Linked DNA regions of Stegostoma tigrinum. The protein of the gene in region 1 interacts with the protein of each later gene in a biochemical or structural test. Links are inferred from orthologs where the notes say so. Each region holds a gene or a part of one and is shown on either strand. Other genes may lie near its edges. The genes, in order: fermt2 and ilk.

Region 1 (10,404 bases):
AAATCCATGCAGACATGGGTAGAACATGCAAACTCCACATAGACAGTCACCTGAGGTTAGAATCAAACCTGGGTCCCTACTGCAGCGAGGCAGCAGTGCTAACCACTGAGCCACTGTGCCACCCTATATAGCCAGCATTTTCTCTGCTTCAGGATCAGGACTGAATTCCTCAATCTCCACTTTCTGCATCTCTGATAGGTGCAGACAAAATTGCTGTCTGTAATTATCCTGTATTAGGAGGGAAGCCCTTAGCCTGATATTGAAAATGGCTTCCTCTGCCCTTTTATCCTATGGCAATCTGAATAGTTTATATCCAAATTGAATTGCTAATCAGCTCGCTTTGATCCCAACTCCTCTTCATTTTGGAAGTAAAAGTAGATGTTAAATGAATAGTGAGAGAGTCACAGTGGTACTATCACTGAACTATCATCTACAGACCCAGGAAATCTGCCATTCTTACTAGGTCTGCAATGCATAACATTCAATGTTCACAGCCTTGGTTCAGATATATACAAAAGACCTGAAGACCAGAGCCGGGGAGAGATTGATTGCCTTTGACATCCAGGCCCTATTTGACTGAGTATGGCATCAAGGAATCCTAGCAAAACTCAAGGTAATGGAAATTGGGGGGGATGGGTGAAAATATTCCATTGGGTGGAGTTAAATCTCGCACAAAGGAAGATGGTTGTGGTTGCTAGGAGGTCAGTCATCACAGGTCGAAGATCAGCACAGGAGTTCCTCAGGGTAGTGTTATAGGCTCAATCATCTTCAGTTGCTCCATCAATGGCTTTCCTTCTATTATTAGGTCAGGAGAAGGAATGTTTGCTGGTAATTGCATGATGTTCAGGATTATTTCTGACTCTTCCAAAACTGTAATAGACCATGTTCAAGTGCAGGAAGACCCAGACAATGTTCAAGCTTGGACTCAAAAGTGACAATTAATATCTGTTTTACACAACAGCCAGGAAATGATTATGTCCAACAACAGACAGTCTAATCATCAATCCTACATATTCAAAGGCATTACCATTACCAAATTCCCCACTATCAACATCCTGGGTGTTATCATTGACGAGAAACTGAACAGGACCAGCCACATAAATACTGTGGCTGCAAGATCAGGTCAAGAGACTAGAAATCCTGCAGCAAGTAACTCAACTCCTCACTGACTGAAGCCTGTCCACCATCTACAAGGCACAAAGCAGGGATATAATGAAACAGTTCCCACCCACAGTCAGTTCTGCTATAACGCAATAGATGCATTCCTATGCAACATCTCACTATAGAAAATCACGCTGTAGTAATGACAGGGCCTATGGGTAAAACAGCTCTATAGGCAGACCACCTAAAAAAATTACTCAAAATCATTCAAAAAAACTCAAAAGCCTAACACAAAGGATAGAACAGTTTGAATAAATGTTTGGTTCATATCTAATGATGAAATAAAAGCAAATTTAACACCTTACCTTGAGAAAATGTTTCCTCTGGAGTTCAGACAAATGAGGGGGGATCTCATAAGAACTTATAAAATTCTGACAGGACTGGACATAGTAGGTGCAGGGAGGATGTTTCTGATGGTGGGTGTGTCCAGAACCAGGGGTCACAGTATGAGGATTCAGGGTAGACCATTTAAGATGGAGATGAGGAGACATTTCTTCACCCCAAAGAGTGCTGAGCCTGTGAAATTCATTACCACGGGGTGTAGTTGATGCCAAAACATTGAATGCATTCAAGGGGTTACTAGATATAGAACTTGGAGCAAATGGGATCAAAGGTTATGGGGAGAAAGCAGGATTAGGCTGTTGAGTTGATCAGCCATGATCATGAAGAATGGTGGAGCAGGCTCAAAGGACCGAATGGCCTCCTCCTACTCCTATCTTCTATGTTTCTTTGTAAGATGACTTGATGGGGGGAGGAGGTTTTGAGGTTGCTTTGTTGTTAATGCAAGTGATAAGGGTCGTCATCGTCATCATCATCATCATCACCGTCAGGTACAATTGTGGTTGCAGGGTTAGGGCGAAAAATAGTTAATCCAGAAATGGATGGCTGTGATTCATTTTCTTCCGACTGTTTCATGAGTGTTCACTTAAAAAAAAGACAGACATCCAGTTTTTGCTGATTTGCCCTTTTTCTTCTTTCATGAAGAAACTGTTCATAGGGTGCCAAATAAGATCTTACTTCACAAACTGCTACCCTACTGTTCTGCATTCTAATCATTGTCCTCTAATCGTTGCAACTGCTTCTCAATTTCCCTCAGGATAGAAGTCAAAACAGAAGTGGACAATTCTCATGGTGCCGCATCCTGGACTACTTCTTCATCTCCAGCTTCCCCCTCACCTCAGCGACAAATTGTTGCAGATCAGCCGTAGAAAGTCGGAAAGTCACAGTCGGACTCAAGCAGCTCTTCAACATCCTCACTCTCCACCTCTTTAAATCCAACTTGCTTTGCAAGATCAGCACCATGTTCTTTGATTCATAGGAGCTCCTCTGACAGGTCAAAGCTTTTAAAATCTTGAAAAAAATCTACGAGAAGCATCCGCCAAACTGCATGCAAGCAGTTTTAACTGACATCAGCACAGGTTTGCATTCTTGACATCAAAACTCTTCCAAAATTGAACAGCACTGTCCTTATCCCCTTGAGTAACTGCAATCAGCCTCTTAAATGTGCACCTTAAATAATAAGCTTTAAAAGCTGCTATTGCAACCTGGTCCATGTGTTGAAGGAGAGCGGTTAAGTTTGGGCATAGAAAAGGCACTTCATGTTTCAGAAAACTCACCAATGGTGGGAGGATGGCTTGGTGCATTATCCAGAGTGAGGAGAATTTGTACCTCTCACAAAAAGTGCTTCACAACAAAGTTGCAAAATGATCGCATAATGCCAGCATGGAGACTCTTCTGGCACAAACATTGTGCATGCTCAGGATAAAGCCAGTGAAACAACCATGTGATGTTGACACAAATTCCTCAGTGCACCAATGGAATTGTGCTATAGCCGACACAAGTTTGTGAGTTGTGTTATAGCCAATTTGTGTTGCTGGAACAAGGCGTTATAGCTGAACTGACTGTACCTGGATAAGTGCAGCTTCAACAACACTGACAAAGCTTGATTCCATCCAGTACAAAGCCCACCTGTTTAGCACTAGGTCCTCAAACATTCACTCCCTCCACCACCAATGCAGAAAAGCAGCAGTATGTACAACCTACAAGATGCACTGCAGAAATTCACCAAGGCTCTTCAGACAGCACCTTCGAAACCTAAACCATAGAACATAGAACATAGAACAGTACAGCACAGAACAGGCCCTTCAGCCAATGCTGTTGTGCCGACCATTGATCCTCATGTATGCACCCTCAAATTTCTGTGACCATATGCATGTCCAGCAGTCTCTTAAATGACCCCAATGACCTTGCTTCCACAACTGCTGCTGGCAACGCATTCCATGCTCTCACAACTGTCTGTGTAAAGAACCCGCCTCTGACATCCCCTCTATACTTTCCTCCAACCAGCTTAAAACTATGACCCCTCGTGCTAGCCATTTCTGCCCTGCTCGAGAAAGGTCATGGCTGCAGACGCATAAAAATGTCACCAGCTGCAAATTTCCCTGCCAGCCATTCACCAACCTGACGTAGAAACATTACCCTGTTCTATCACTGTTGCTGGGTCAAAATTCTGGAATTCCCCCTAATAGTAGAGAACATACTTATACCAAATAGAGTCATAGATTCATACAGCATGGAAACAGACTCTTCATCCAAGTAATCCATGCCAACCATGTTCCCAAAATAGACTGTAGAGATTCAGGAAGACAGCTCATAACCACCTTCTCAACAGCAACTAAGGATGAGCAATAAATGCTGGCCCTGTTAGCAAAGTTCACATCTCCTGAATAAAACTTGATAACTTACAGAGACTACAGTAAAAGATGCTTTTGTTTCTGAACCCAAGTATTTTGTATCTTCATCCTAGTAAAATAATCGGACTCCTCTATTGATGTCCAACAATCAAACCATCCAGATTTAAGGCAACAAAAACAGAAATTGCTGGAGAGGAGTGTCAACACCTGTGGAAATAAAGCAGAGTTAATGTTTAGAGTCCATTTCAGAACAGATTTACTATCAAGTAGATGGCAGAACAGGCCAAACAACACCCTTCATTTACAATAAATTTAAAGAAAAACTCAAAAATACAATAAAATTATAAACCAAAAGATGTATTTGAATGAACCTCACAATAGTAATGAAAACCAATAAAATGAAAAAGGGAATAACTTGGAATTAATGTAAATACAATTTAATGAATAAATACTTATGCTTGTACATAGTATTTGTTATTTCTAAACTTGACTGTTTCATTCCTATCCTAACTGGCCTCACCACTGCATCTCTGCAATGTTTTGGAATCATTGTGTTGCTCTAACTCTGGTTAGTTGGGCATTCTGATTTTAATTGCCCCAGTACTGGTAGCAGTACCATCAAATGTTGAGGTCTAAAACTCTGCCTCTCCCTTTTGCAAGACACTCTCAAAACCTTCTTCTATGATAAAGCTTTTGGTTGGTTGTACTACTCTCTCCTGATGTGACATGTTTTGAAATTCTATTTGATAATGATCCTGTCACTCACCTTTGGATGTTTTACTCTGTGAAAGATGCTACTCAAATAAAAATCCGTAAACATACAAATACTCAAGGTTTACCCAATTAAGCAGAAATTGGGTGCTTTTTTCAGAGGATTGTGATATTTTGGGATGATTCTTTATGGAGAGATGGAAAGCAGTGTCTTTCAATATTTTTAAGGCAGAGGTGGATAGATTTGTGTTAAACAAAAGAGTGTCAGGGATAGACAGGAATGCGAATTTGAGTTTACAATCAGAACAGTCATGATCTTATGGGAAGATGGAATAGGGTGAAGGGGCTGAATGGCCAGTCCTGCTCCGTTGGTATGCTCATAAAACTGTATTTATATCATCGAATGGGCCATCACATCTCCCTGCTGAACAAAATTACACCCGCTTAGGTTAATTCCATCTGCATTACATGTGTGCGCTCAAAAAGTTGGCTCTACGTACGGCAACGCCAAATAATGAGCCGGACACCGGAGGGGAAGAAAGAGAAATGGGGAATTTTTTTTCACCAAAAAGTGCAGGAGTGGAAAACGTTCGTGGTGGAGGCTGTGAAAGTGTGCGTGAGGCTCCCGAGCACCTACAGTGGCGATGGGGCTTCGCCGCGCACGACGGGCCGTAAGTGCTAACGGGAATGCGGTCTCCGGGATCAATGTGGAGCCCGAGTCCCGGATGTGCGGCGCTGCTTCTCCTCATTTCCATAAAAGGCAGCGGAGGCTCGGCTTGGGCTCGAGCTGGATCCCCAGTGCGGGGGGAGGGGCGTTGTGGCCGCCGAGGGGTTGGGAGGGAGGGGGCGGTACTAGTACTACCGCCTGCCCGCCCTCCACGGCCACTCACACACAGAGACATGGACAGCGGGCTGTGACCGCCGTAGACAGATTGAATTTTACGGCGACTCGGAGAAGACGCTGAGACAGAGGGGGCGGAAAAAAAAAATCCCAGGATTGACTCCATTAACTGTCCATCCAACGGCCGCCAGCTTGGACCCTCTTCTTTCTCCGCGCCTGTGGGAAAGCTGTTTAAACTGTATTTTTCCCCCCAACCTCTTTCTTCCCCCCCCCCCGTCCCTTCCCCCGCCGATATTGCTGGGCTGTCGCCAACGTTTACTTTCAGTGGATCCTTCGGAGGTAATTTTGGCTTTAATGTTAATATTGTTTTTCGGATTATAACCCCGGGTATAACTGCTGCCGAGTTTAAACCCCTCGCCATCTCTGCCACAGTTTAGAAACCCGGCCTGCATTCAGTTCTGGTGGACTGTGGTCCGGCACGGCTGTGGAGGAGGTTAGTTTTTCTTTGATAATTTGTATTTTTTTGTCGTTTTTTTATGGTTTATGTGGAGGAAAGTGTGCGTCGAGGAGGAGGAGGGTTGGGTGAATTTGCATTGAAGCGCTGTCCTTTACCGTGTAGATCGAGTGACAGACGGGGAGGGGTCTGACACGATGGGGCTTCAGATGGAGGATGGTTGAGGTGGTGGGGGTGGGAGAGAAACGGAAAGAGACGCCCAGGGGGTTTGCATTGTCTCGCAGATGGTCTTCGAAGCCCCTTTCCCTCGCTCGTGTTGCTCTCTATCCTGCCTACTTTTTTTAAAATATAAAAATCCGTTTCAGATTGTGAGTTGCGCGGTCATAAATCAGTCATTGTAAAGTTTGTCGCCGCACTCTGTGAGCAATAGAAATCGTGAAGCCTCGTTTTGTTCTAAAGAATGTGCAACTTTTAAAGAAAAATGTGTGTAAAACCGATTTCAACAAGTTTGCAATACTGCTGTGAATATCAAACTGTAATTTGAAGCCCTATAACGGAAAATGCGTGGCCCACTCCTTGCACTTACTTCGTACGTGCAAAGACCGTCAATTGGACTTGATCTTTGTATCTACTGTGACTCCTGTTACTGCTTTCAATGTGCATTGGCTGCAAGGTCTGTGTAGTTGCACCTCGTGCTGTGCTGTCACCATATCAGTAAATGACATCGTCCGCTTCTTTCAACAGCCGAACGTTTAATGTTGCCGTTTGGTTCATTTAACTCTTTCACTGCCCCCCCCCCCCAGGTAAAAGATGGCGTTGGACGGGATTCGGATGCCGGATGGCTGTTACGCTGATGGGACGTGGGAATTAAATGTTCTTGTGACCGACCTAAACCGCGATGTTTCTCTCCGAGTGACCGGAGAGGTGCATATAGGAGGAGTGATGCTCAAGCTGGTGGAGAAACTGGGTAAAGTCCTGATTTTAATGGGTGTGCCGTCGCCTACTTTTGCTAATTCCCGCCCTTCCCCAGCCCAAAAAGCATGGATGCTTCGACATCGCGATTACCCGATGCCATGTATGGGTTCAAGTTTAGACCGAGTGATGCGTTGGCTCTGCTGAGAAAGAATTTCGCAATGATATGCCAAACCCCAGTTTTCCTTTCTAACTGCTGTGGGGACTGAGTTATGTTGAACTTCACTGGGATATTCCTTCTGATCGTACAAATAAACACCTATGTTTATTTTAAGACGTCTTTGTCTATTGGTTTCAGGATCGATACTACAATGTTGCGTGAATCGGTTCAGAGACTTCGATCCACCAAAGTAAAGAATAGGAATTTGTAAAGTACCAGTAGATGTAGCATGAAGGTTTGCACAAGAATATCGCTAATCTTCAATGAATTGAAGTAGTGAATGTCTTTCAGAGGCTGCATTCGTCACTGGAAGATAAAACTCTGGCTAGAGAGAAATTAAATTCTTAATTAATATGTTCTACTCTTAACTGTGTAACTAATGGTATATCACAAGGAGTTTGAAAGGGACACAGCTTTTATTATTCAGTGTTTAATTTTCTATTATGGTGTATGTTCCAAGGTCTAACTTCAATTAAAGCTCAAAGCAGACAGTTTTCTGTTTCTTTTCAGTATTCTAACCAGTTTTTCCTCACCACAGGCCTTTCTGTTACGTTCCTGAACCATAAGATAGTTATCATGACTAATTAATGAAGCTTTGTTTGAAATATCAACACTTTACGTAGTGCCCATGACAATGTGGTGACCCTAAGTTCTTAAGAGTAGTAGAAAGGAATATTTGACTCGGAGCTCATAGGGTGGATGGCCAAAGATTTAGTTGAATAGGTACATTTTTAGGGAGAAAGGAGATAAGGAGGGAATTCCACAGCTTGGGCCTTGACACCTGATGCCCAGGCACTAACGATGGAGCAGTTTAAAATTGGATGCTGAAGAGACCTGAATTAGATGAATACCGGTATTTTGGAAAGTTGCAGGGCTGGAGGAGATTGGTGAGGCCATAGATTGAAAACAAGGAAGAGAATTAAAATAATGCCAATTTTAAATAGAAGTATTGCTTGCCTGGATGTTATAGATCAGTGCCGACAAGAGTAATGGGTGAACAGAACTGCATATGTCAAGATGCACGTGGCAAAATGTATAGCCTGTGTTTTCTGGAGGGTATGTGGGAGGCCAGCCACCATGTAGTTGAAGCAGTCATTGTCTAGATGTCATAATGCCATCGATCAGTTTTTAGCAGCAAGTGAGCTGATGCAGGTGAGGAGTTGAGGTGTTACGGAGATGAAAATAGATCTACTGCCAAGAATGTGTGGTTGGAACATCATCTCTGGGTTAGATGTGACCACAACGCTGCAGTCTGGCTCATTCTCAGAGTTGCATGTGAAATGAATGGAGTTTGTGGTGGATTCCAAACACAATGGCTTCCTTCACCATTCATTTGCCTCTTTTTATGTAAAATGGGTTTTTCCAAGGCTAGATTGCAAATGATTTTATTTTGCAAAACTTGGAATAGAAGCAGATGGATGTGAATAACAGAGATTAAATCTTTAAGGCAAATTTACTTCATAGGTATCAGTGAAAACTATTCTCTTTAGAACCTATTTGATTTATCTTTAAGGAGTGCTTGTACTATGTAAATAACGATCATAGATAAGCATTTGTAAAGAACAGGCACAAATCACTTTCTGTGAAGGACTGGAATGTCAAAAGGTTTTATCTGTGTAGAAATAGTTAACTTGTTTTAGCAGTACAAATGAGCAATTGACACAATTTGGATTGGAGATGCATATCTTAGAAGATATAAAGATGACCAATGCATCTCTCATGATAAGAATGGAAGGCTAAAGAGTTTGTCTGTCATGTGCCATGTATGATGAGCTATCCAGAACTAGTGACCAAGACGAGTGAGTTTATATAGCAATTCAGAAGGGTCATTGAGTTTGAGGTCTATCTGACTGATGATAATGTACAACACTTGGATATTTCTCTGTAATGCATATTTTCATAATGTGAGAGTTGACCAAAGATAATGTGATCAAAGGGGATGACCACAGCAAAATTAGATGGTGATGTAAGACAGTTTAAAGGACTAGACTTGTACAGGTGGCTCAGTGGTTAGCACTGCTGCCTCACAGCACCAGGTTCAACTGTCTGTATAGAGTTTGCACATTCTCCCCATGTCTGCGTGAGTTTGCTCTGTTTTCGTCCCACAGCCCAAAGATGTGCAGGTTAGGCAGATTGGCCATGCTAAATTGCCCATAGTGTTCAGAGATGTGCAGGCTAGGTAGATCAACATGTGAAATGCAGAGTTACTGGGGTAGGGTAGGGGTCGGGGTGATGGATGGTCTGGGCAGCATACTGTTGAGGGTTGGTGTGGACTCAGTGGGCCGAATAGCCTGTTTCCACACTGTAGGGATCCTATGTTTGTACAATATTCTTGACATTTGTCACACAGGAATGATAATTAGGAACTAAAACACTCCGATAAGGCTGTATTAAGTTAATTTGTCGTCTGGGACAATACTTACCTTGGAAATTGGGAAATTTCCTGAGTGTCTCCAGAATGCCATTTTATCAACCATCATTATTTTCTTGTAAAGTCCTGTGTTCTTTTAGTTGACCCAATCTACACCTGATGGATGATGTATAGTAGAGGATTTGATAAGAACATATAATTTGTTTCATATTTCAAACACCAGCCTAAAAAATATCATGGGGCTAGTGAAAAGTTTCCTGGGTTTAGGTGGGAGAACAGTTTATAAACTGTGGTTCACGTAGGATCCATTAGCTTGGAGAAGAATGGTGGAAAAGTGTTTGAGGAGTTGAGAAGTAGATTAACAAGTCATTGCTGTGGGAGTATTATTATGTTAGTTTGTTTTGACATTTTAAGCATGCTAATAGTAGTGCAACCAGTTTTTAAATAGGATGCTCAACATTACTTACTTTAAAAACTGATGTGTCAACCAATACTTCAGGAATATGTGTAGGATGTTGTAAATTTCCCCAAAGTTTTATAATGCATTTTGGAATAAGGAAAACAGTTTAGATGGTGAGCTTTGCCTGGCCTAACTGTTTGGTACCAGTTTCCTTGATAGAGCTCACAGATACAGTGGGAAATATGAGAGGAAAAGGATGGGTAAATGTTTGAGAAGGGCGAGAAGGAAAGCATTAAGTTGGACGTGTGGGAGAGAGCATATCAATGGCACTTTGAGGACAATAATGCAACAAGTCAGCAGATTGTGTAAGCATATTTACGTGGCTAAAATGTGTCCAGTTCTTTCTTTAGATTGAGGTGAATTATTAGGGATGGATATATTTTAATGACTACTTGGTGAATGCAAAATGTGTGGATAGATAGCTCTTAAAATGTAGTGGTTTCAAGACGAATTTACTGTGACGATAGGTTGGAATACAATAATGTCTCCAAAGTTTTAGACTGACGCATTTTGTGTAATGAGAATGAAGATCTTCATGTGTGGAATGAACATCCAGAGGAACTGGTCAATGTGGGTACAGT
Region 2 (9,669 bases), on another chromosome or scaffold:
TCACTCTCACCCTCCCCCCTCCTCTCCCTCCCCCCCCCCAACACCTCCTCCCTACACCCTCCCTACCCTACTCTTCTCCGCCCCAGGTGCACGCTCCATTAACTTACTCTCTCCCCACCTCCTGTGGACCGAGTTCAAGCTGTAGCCACCACAAATCCGCCCCCCCAACACAACTGTAAAATTAAACAGAATCTTCACACAAATTCAAGACTATTTCCCCCCACCCCTGGGGGAAGGTCATCACAAATTATCAACTGCAGCCTCACCCGCTCCCCTTCACGCTGCTCAACGCTCACACCTTACCGAGAGGCCTCAGGCCTAAACCGAATCCCGCCGCTAACTGCGCCCCTACCGCCCGGGAAGCGCACACCCCACATCCCCAAAGGAAAGCCAGTACCAACAGCGCCCTCGCCGACCAGGAGGTGCAGCATCGGTGCCCTCTCTGACAGGAAGGTGTAATAGAAGCGACCCCTACGGCCGGGAGGAGCAACAGCATGCTCTGGCGAAGGTGATGATTACAATCTGTGCTGGGAGTGAGGAGTGGTGGCAGGAAGGCAGGGATAATGGGAACTGCAGATGCAGGGATAATGGGAACTGCAGATGCAGGGATAATGGGAACTGCAGATGCTGGAGAATCCGAGTTCAGGGGTTTGTGTCTGACACATTTTCAATGAGCTGCCACCATGTTCAGACCATCTTTGTGATATCCCTTTGATAACAAGGTTTGGAGCTGAATGAGCACAGCAGGCCAAGCAGGAAAGCTGACGTTTTGGGCCTAAACCCTTCGTCAGAAATGGGAGAGGGGAAGGTTGTTCTGAAATAAATAGGGAGAGAGGGGGAGGCGGATTGAAGATGGATAGAGGAGAAGATAGGTGGAGAGGAGACAGACAAGTCAAAGGGGCGGGGATGGAGCCAGTAAAGGTGAGTATAGGTGGGGAGGTAGGGAGGGGATAGGTCAGTCCGGGGAGAACAGACACGTCAAGGAGGCAGGATGAGGTTAGTAGGTAGGAAATTGAGGTGGGAGGAGGGGATAGGTGAGAGGAAAAACAGGTTAGGGAGGTGGGGTCAAGCTGGGCTCCCAACTATCCCCTCCTCCAACCTGAAGCCGTACCTCAACGCTTCCTGCCTACTAACCTCATCCCGCTCCCTGGACTGACATATCCCCTCCCTAACTCCTTACTTTACCCACCTCTTTGACCTGTCTGTCTCCTCTCCACTTATCTTCTCCTCTATCTATCTTCTGTCTGCCTCCCCCATCTCCCTATTTATTTCAGAACTCCCTTCCCCTCCCCCTTTTCTGATGAAGGGTCTAGACCCGAAATGTCAGCTTTCCTGCTCCTCTGATGCTGCTTGGCCTGCTGTGTTCATCCAGCTCTACACCTTGTTATCTCAGATTCTCCAGCATCTGCAGTTCCTACTATCTTTGTGATATCCCTGGCACCAGAGAAGTTAGAACCATGCTGCTTCCCTGGTGTTCGCTGTTGTTTCCATTTCTGAAGAAGGATCACCAGACCCAAAAAGTTAACTGATTTCCCTCTCTAGATGCAGCCAGACCTGCTGAGCTTTTCCAGCAACTTCTGTTTATGTTCCTGATTTACAGCATCCACTGTTCTTTTCGTTTTTCTATTTAACCCTTGAGTCCATCACTGATTAAAGGTCTTTTTTATTGTTGATTATGCCTAATGACCTAGCCTCTAAAGCCAAGTGCATAAAGAATTCAGAGATTCGCGTTTAGATGAGAGAAGAAATTCCTTGTCATCTCTATTTTAAGTAGGTGGCGCCTTTTGTCAGATTTTGCCCTCTATATATATATTCTCCCATAGTTCCCACAGTTTAACATCTGTGTCTCATTCTGCTTTGGCTGATCTCAGAAACCACTATTCTCTGCAAAGCATCATTGTCACGGTCAGATTGTTGTTGAATTTGAGGTTAATGACTCCTCAACATCTCTTCCTCCTCAGGCACCTTGGGAAATTTGAGATGTCTGTAAGGGCCCTCAGCAACTTCTACAGATGCACCATAGAAAGTATACAATCCAGGTATTTAATGGCCTGGTATAGCAACTGTGTTGCCCAGGACCATAAGAAACTACAGAAAGTGATGCGCACACCCCAGACCATCATGGAAGGCAACATCCCATCCGTGGACTCTATTTACATGGCTCGCTGCCACAGAAAGGCTGCTAACATTATCAAAGACACTTCCCACTTGGTAATGCTATCTCCCAACTTGTTCCATTAGGCAGAAAATACAAAAGCTTGAACACATGGACCAACAGCTTCCTCCCTGCCATGGAGATGGTAAGGGACTGCAGACACTGGAAGCATGAGTAAATAAATGTGGAGCTGGAAAAGCACAGCAGGTGAGACAACATCCGAGGAGCAGGAAAGTCTGTGTTTGGTTTCTCCGATATAGAGGGGACTGCGTGGGGAGTACCGAATACAATAGATGAGGTTTGATGAAGCGAATCTGTGGCAGATTTGGAAGGATTGTTTGTGGCCTTGGACAGACTTGAGGGGGGAGGTGTTGGGGCAGGTGTAGCACCTCCTGTGGTTGCAGAGAAAGGTACCAGGTGTGGTGGAGGGGTTGGTGGGGAGTGTGGAGCTAATGAGGGAGTTGTGAGTGAGTAGTCCCTGAGGAAAGCAGACATGGTTGGGAAGAAAAACATCTTTTTTGTGATAGTGTCTGATAGTAGGTGTTGGAAATGTCGGGGGATGATGCATTGTATATGGATATTGGTGGGGTGGTATGAGAGGGCTAAGCGGGCTCTATTCTTATTGTTGTGGGGGGAGAAGGTTGAGGGCAGAAGTGAGGAAATGGAGATGCAGTGAGGACTTCCTTAATAACGGAGGAGGGGAAATTACAATCTCTAAAGTAGGAAGATATCCGGGAAGTCCGAGAGTAGAATACTTCACCCTGGGAGCCGCGATAGAGGAATTGAATATAGGATAGCATTTTGGCAGGAGGGTAGCTGAGAGGAGGTGTATTTGAGGTAATTGTTGGAGTCATTTGGGTTTGAAGTGGATGCCAGTGGAGAGTCGGTTATCTGAGATGGCGATGGAGATGGGAGGGAGATGTCAGAAATGGTCCAGGTGAGTTTGAAGGTACGCTGGAAGGTGTTGGCAGAGTTGATGTACTAATCAAGCTTGCAAGCATACAAGGCAGCACTGATAGTCATCAGTATCACAGAGAAAGAGCTGAGGGATTTAGCGGTTATGGTTGTTGAAGAGGGGCTGTTTTACGAATCTTACAAAAAGGCAAGTATAGTTCGGGTCTGAGTGGGTGCCTGTGGCCACCCCTTTGTTTTGTAGGAAGTGGGAGGAATCAAAGGAGAAGTTGTTGAGGGAAAAGACCAGTTCCACCAAGTGAATGAGTGTGTCAGTGGAGTGGAACTGGTTGGGCTTACGGGAGAGAAAGAAGCAGAGGGATTTTTGGCCATCCCTGTGTGGGATACAGGTATCCAGGGACTGAACGTCCATAATGAAGACGGTGGTGCTGGCTCGAAGGGCCGAATGGCCTGCTCCTGCACCTCTTGTCTATTGACGTGTTTAAGGCTGGAAATAGAAAGTTTTCAAATAAGTGGAAGGTGTGGGTTGTGTCCTAAATGTAGATGGGGAGTTCCTGGACCAAAGGGGAAAGAACAGATTTGAGGTTGGTGAAGGTGACCTCAATGGGGCAGGAGCAGGCAGACGGGTTTCAGGATTTGGGTAGGAGATAGAAGTGGGCAATGCAGTGTTGGAGAACTATCAGACTGGAGACTATGCACGGGAAATCTCCCGAGGTGATGAAGTTGTCGACGGTCTGGGTGATGATGGCTTGGTGATTAGAGGTAGAGTAGTGATTCCCTGGCATTGTTAGGCAGCTGAATGTATCTCTCTAATTTAAATCTAATGTTGACCTTGCTCCTCTGCAGCCATAACCTAATGCCTCGCTCTGTCTAAGCGTCCTATGATCTGTAGGAGAGAGATAATGGGAACTGCAGATGCTGGAGAATTCCAAGATAATAAAATGTGAGGCTGGATGAACACAGCAGGCCAAGCAGCATCTCAGGAGCACAAAAGCTGACGTTTCGGGCCTAGACCCTTCATCAGAGCTCTGATGAAGGGTCTAGGCCCGAAACGTCAGCTTTTGTGCTCCTGAGATGCTGCTTGGCCTGCTGTGTTCATCCAGCCTCACATTTTATTATCTATGATCTGTAGGTCCTGGTTTGCTCCGATCTGCTTGCAAATCAAAGCTTTTCACTGTACTTAGGTACATGTGACTACAATAAATCAAAATCGGGGGTCTCCTGCAGTGCCATAATGATGCCACCAGAAGGTTGCAGGAACAGCAACTCACATTCAGCTTGGGAACCCTGCAGCCCAATGGTATCAATGGGGATTTCACCAGCTTCAAAATCTCCCCTTCCCCAATGCATCCCAAAACCAGCCCAGCTTGTCCCCACCCCCCACTGCATCCCAAAAACCAGCCCAGTTCATCCCCACCTCCCTAACCTGTTCTTCCTCTCACCTATCCCCTCCTCCCACCTCAAGCTACACCTCCATTTCCCACCTACTAACCTCATCCCACCTCCTTGACCTGTCCGTCTTCCCTGGACTGACCTATCCCCTCTCTACCTCCCCACCTATACTGTCCTCTCCACCTATCTTCTTTACTCTCCATCTTCGGTCCGCCTCCCCCTCTCTCCCTATTTATTCCAGTTCCCTCTCCCCATCCCCCTCTCTGATGAAGGGTCCAGGCCCGAAACGTCAGCTTTTGTGCTCCTGAGATGCTGCTGGGCCTGCTGTGTTCATCCAGCCTCACATTTTGTTATCTTGGATTCTCCAGCATCTGCAGTTCCCAATATCTCTGATACCAATTGATGTGGATCGTCTCACCTGGGCGTGGGGGCGGGGCGTGGGGCGGAGTCGTACACCGGCGGATTGCGGTAGGCGGTTCCCGTTCCAGGGGCGTGGCCGTGCACCTTCAACGGGTATGGGGGCGGGACACCAGGAGGCGATGAAGGCGGTGATACGCATGCGCATTTCTCCAAAACGGCGGGCGGTGCCGTTACCGCTGCGCAGGCGCGGCTTCTCAAAGTTTCCTCGCTTTGGGGCGAACCTGAAAGAAACGGTGAGGATCCGGTTACCGAGGCAACGGGATTTGGGTGGAGTGCGTAACCTGGGTAACGGGGCTTGGGAGAGTGTAACCGGGGCAACGGGGTTGGGAGGGAATAACCAGAAGAACGGGGGGAGGCGGCGCCACGATTCCGAGTTTTGGCTCAGGACGGCATTGAGCCTCGGGTGGGGTGGGGCAGTTAGTTGGCACTCAGCCTGGGGGTGGGGGTGTGGGGTGAATGTGCTGGGTGGAGGGGGGTGTGGGAAACACTGATCCCTGGGGAGGGGGGTGTGGGAAACGCTGATCCCAGGGAGGGGGTGTGGGAAACACTGATCCCTGGGGAGGGGGATGTGGGAAACGCTGATCCCAGGGAGGGGGGTGTGGGAAACACTGATCCCTGGGGAGGGGGGTGTGGGAAACACTGATCCCAGGGGAGGGGGAGTGGGAAACACTGATCCCAGGGAGGGGGTGTGGGAAACACTGATCCCAGGGAGGGGGGTGTGGGAAACACTGATCCCTGGGGAGGGGGTGTGGGAAACACTGATCCCAGGGTAGGGGGGTGTGGGAAACACTGATCCCAGGGTAGGGGGGTGTGGGAAACACTGATCCCAGGGGAGGGGGTGTGGGAAACACTGATCCCAGGGAGGGGGTGTGAGAAACACTGATCCCTGGGGAGGGGGTGTGGGAAACACTGATCCCTGGGGAGGGGGGTGTGGGAAACACTGATCCCTGGGGAGGGGGGTGTGGGAAACACTGATCCCAGGGAGGGGGAGTGGGAAACACTGATCCCAGGGGAGGGGGTGTGGGAAACACTGATCCCTGGGGAGGGGGGTGTGGGAAACACTGATCCCTGGGGAGGGGGGTGTGGGAAACACTGATCCCAGGGAGGGGGTGTGGGAAACACTGATCCCTGGGGAGGGGGAGTGGGAAACACTGATCCCAGGGGAGGTGTGTTTGTGAGTGTGACGGGTGAATGTGCTGGGTGGAGGAGGGAGTGAGAAACACTGATCCCAGGGGTGGGGAGGTGGAACACTGATCGGGGATGGGGAGGCACGTGCGAGTGCGAGGGGTGAATGTGCTTGGGCGGGGGTATCAGAACACTGATTCTGGGTGTGGAGGTGTGTGCAAATGTTGGGAGTGAATGTGCCTGGGGGTATGGAATGGATTGTCAAATTCCTGAAATGGAGGTATGAGAGGACACTGATCTTCAGTTGTGGGTGTGGGCACTATACCTCAGGAGATATCAGGTGCACGGAGCCTGAGTGTGGGGAAGTTTAGGGTAAAGTCGGGTGTCTGAAGGAGCACTGAAGCAGGGATTGGGGGTTTGACAGCATCCAGCCTGCGAGTTGGGCGAGGTGGGGGGTAGGCACTGAGCCTTGCCAGGCTAGATGAATGATTCAGAGTGTGAGGGCCATTGAACCTGAGGGGGTGGGGGTACTGAGCCTTGGAGTAGTTGGGCTGAAGAGGCACTGAGCTTCGGAGGTATGGGGATATTTATTGGATTGGGCTTTCTCTGGTTTCCTTGATAGTGATGTAGTCCATTGTTTATGTTTTATAAGTATTTTCATTGATTGAGGTCTTTGTGTTTTTGCCATTAAACTTTAATCGGTATGAAATTTCTGCTAAAATTCAAAACAGCGCACCATTTTTGTTCCTTTATATGCATTTATTGTCCATCTGTAATAGCCACAGAGATGGTATTGATCTGCCTTCTTGTATTGCTATAGTCCTTGGGGTCTGGGACCACTCACGATGCTGTTTGGAACGCAGTATTTTGAACCTGTGACAGTGAAGGAATGGTGATACAGTACCAATTCAGAATGATGTGTGCAAAGGAAGTCTTAACAATGTACTTAGGAAAGTATAACTCAGTTATATCGAGTCAGTATGCTTCTGTGAAAGGGGAAATCCTGTTTGACAAATTGATCAGTTTTTTGATGCTGTGACGTAAATAAAAGGGAATCTGAATTTTGCTGAAAAGAAAGATATGTTGTTCATTCTCTTGTCTTGTTTGCTTTGCTCTTAGTAGAGAGGATCGTTTTCTCTCTTTCAAACCTTAATTTACAATCAATTTAAATCTCTCTCCATCATGAGCAACTTTTTTACACTGGGATTCTGCCTCTGTCAACAGCATAAAGAAGGATATTTTCCAACTCTTTTCAGAACTGAAGAAGTCATACTAGACTCGAAGCTTTAACTGTTTGCCCACAGATTCTGCCCAGCCTGTTGAGTTTCTTCAGTTTCTGTTTCTGTTTTCTGCAGTATTTTGCATAATATAGTTTTGCATTATATAATATTTTGTCTGATCTTTTCGCTTTGCTCTCAGGCCAAACACAAGGACAAGTTTTAAACAATGGTAACAATATATATGAACAAAAATGTGCTGACAATATACTGCACTGCCTATATTTGTACTAAAGCTGTCCTGTACTCACTGAGGCTCCCCAAATGCCTGGGTTGGACAACAGATCAATTGTTTTATACAGAAATAGTAGGAACTGCAGATGCTGGAGAATCTGAGATAACAAGGTGTAGAGCTGGATGAACACAGCAGGCCGAGCAGCATCAGAGGAGCGGGAAGGCTGATGTAGCGGACCTAGACCCTTCTTCAGAAAACTCGTTTTATACTGCTGTTTTACAGTGGCCATGCAAGTTGTATGTTCCATTAAAGGTTGCTACCATCAGATAAGTTTGAAATCTTCCACGTAATTCAGCAATGTCATGTATCCCAGGCACATAAGCCATATTCCTCAGGAATTTTGATTGTTTCATTCAGTGTCTTTTTGGGAAGGAAATTGCTGTATTTACCAGGTCAGGCCTATGTCTGGCTCCAGACCAATAATGTGGCTGATTCTTTGCTACCAAGGGCATTAAATGCAGTAAGGCTGACATTTCAAGCCTAGGGCCTTCTTCAGAAAAAGGACCTTTCTGAAGAAAGGCCTAGGCCCGAAACGTCATCCTTCCTGCTCCTCCTGATGTTGCTTGGCCTGCTGTATTCATCCAGCTCTGCACCTTGTTATCTCGGATTCTCCAGCATCTGCAGTTCCTACTATCTCTGCCCGAATATCTTCATTATTTAAATATAAGCAAGCTCAGAACATGATTCGTTCCGCTTCCTAGAAACGACATGCGCATATTTTCGCATGGACTCATCCTGTGCAAAGAACAGAAATGTGCTCAAGCTGTGTGTCCTTTTTAAATTGCCCCGGAGCTGGGAGCCTCTAGTTCCCTGTTACCTTCTCAATGGCAGTACCTCAGCCAATTACCGCCTATTATAGAAAGAGGCAACATCTGTCATAAGTGCTGCCCATAAAGTTGTCCCTTGCTCGTGGTGCAGGAGGATGCCTGCTGATGCTTTGTTAGCAAGATTGGTGACTGTTTTGGAGTGTCTGAAATCGTGGTGGTTGAGATGACACCTGGTGTTTTTGTTTACATTAGTCATCAGCCAGAGTTTCCCACATGTTAGGGTTGATTTTGAACCAGATCATTGTGCAACCTGTTAGTGTCTTGATATGCGCTCCCTCCCTGTATGGCAATTTACGCAGGAACAAAGCAGACCAGTCGGGCTCTGAAGCTTAGAGATAATGGGAACTGCAGATGCTGGAGAAAACTTTTCTGATGAAGAGTCTAGGCCCGAAACTTCAGCTTTTGTGCTCCTGAGATGCTGCTTGGCCTGCTGTGTTCATCCAGCCCCACACTTTGTTACCTCGGGTTCTCAAGCTTGATCTGCCATTTAGTGAGATCTGTGACTTAACTCCATATGCCTGTCTTTATGTGCCATAACCCTTAATACTGTTGTTCAACAAAAAACTGCCTATCTCTGATTTAAAATTAACTGATCTCCTATCAACTACAATTTATGGAAGAAAGTTCCAAATCTCTGCCACCCTTTGTTTGTAGAAGTGCTTTCTAACATCTCTCATGAATGGTCTGGCCCTGATTCTCATACGAGGCCTCCTAATTCTACAGTCTGCAACCAGAAATAGTTTATCTTCATCTAGTCTGTCTTTTCCTGTTAAAGACTTCTATCAGATTGTCCCTTAACTTTCTAAATTCTAAAGGAAACAGATTTAATTTGTATAATTGCTCCTGATAACTTAACCCCTGAAGTCTATTCTTGTAAACCGAAGTTGTACTCACTTCAGGCCAATATATCCTTCTTAAGGTCTGGTGCCCAGATTTGCTCACAGTAAACCAAGTGGGGTCTAACCAGGCTTTTGTATAACTGCAGCATAACTTCTGCATCCTCTAGATTATAAAGGCCAACATTGCTTGAGCTTTCTTGATGATTTTCTGTGGTATTTAACAGATATATACACGTGAAACGCAAAATTTCTTCAGGCATCGACTATATATTTAATTTATACCATCTAGAAAATATCCTGATCTATCTGCTTTTTAATCCAAGATGGATAACCGATTTGGATATTTATGCAATTATCCAAGTGATTAATAAATAATGAGAATAATTGAGACCCTAACACAGTAATTTTTGGGGATGCAGCCATCTTCAGTGTGAGCATGCTGGGCATGTTTGCCTTCAAAAGGTAGCTTCATTGGTGACTTTGTACT

Evidence for each region.
Region 2: the proteins of fermt2 (region 1) and ilk form a complex in vitro, tested with the Homo sapiens proteins (2 studies listed by BioGRID). The link is inferred for Stegostoma tigrinum from reciprocal best matches to the Homo sapiens genes FERMT2 and ILK.

The regions. Positions count from the first base shown.
Region 1 is NC_081363.1:46,420,278-46,430,681, reverse strand, and holds the start of fermt2 (fermitin family homolog 2), read left to right. Parts: upstream 1-5,405; 5' UTR 5,406-5,745; intron 5,746-5,787; exon of another isoform or gene 5,788-5,899; intron 5,900-6,210; exon of another isoform or gene 6,211-6,228; intron 6,229-6,323; exon of another isoform or gene 6,324-6,343; intron 6,344-6,513; exon of another isoform or gene 6,514-6,533; intron 6,534-6,663; 5' UTR 6,664-6,670; coding exon 6,671-6,827; intron 6,828-10,404. UniProt on the Homo sapiens protein: Scaffolding protein that enhances integrin activation mediated by TLN1 and/or TLN2, but activates integrins only weakly by itself. Binds to membranes enriched in phosphoinositides.
Region 2 is NC_081359.1:113,378,297-113,387,965, reverse strand, and holds the start of ilk (integrin-linked protein kinase), read left to right. Parts: upstream 1-5,003; 5' UTR 5,004-5,016; coding exon 5,017-5,112; intron 5,113-9,669. UniProt on the Homo sapiens protein: Scaffold protein which mediates protein-protein interactions during a range of cellular events including focal adhesion assembly, cell adhesion and cell migration.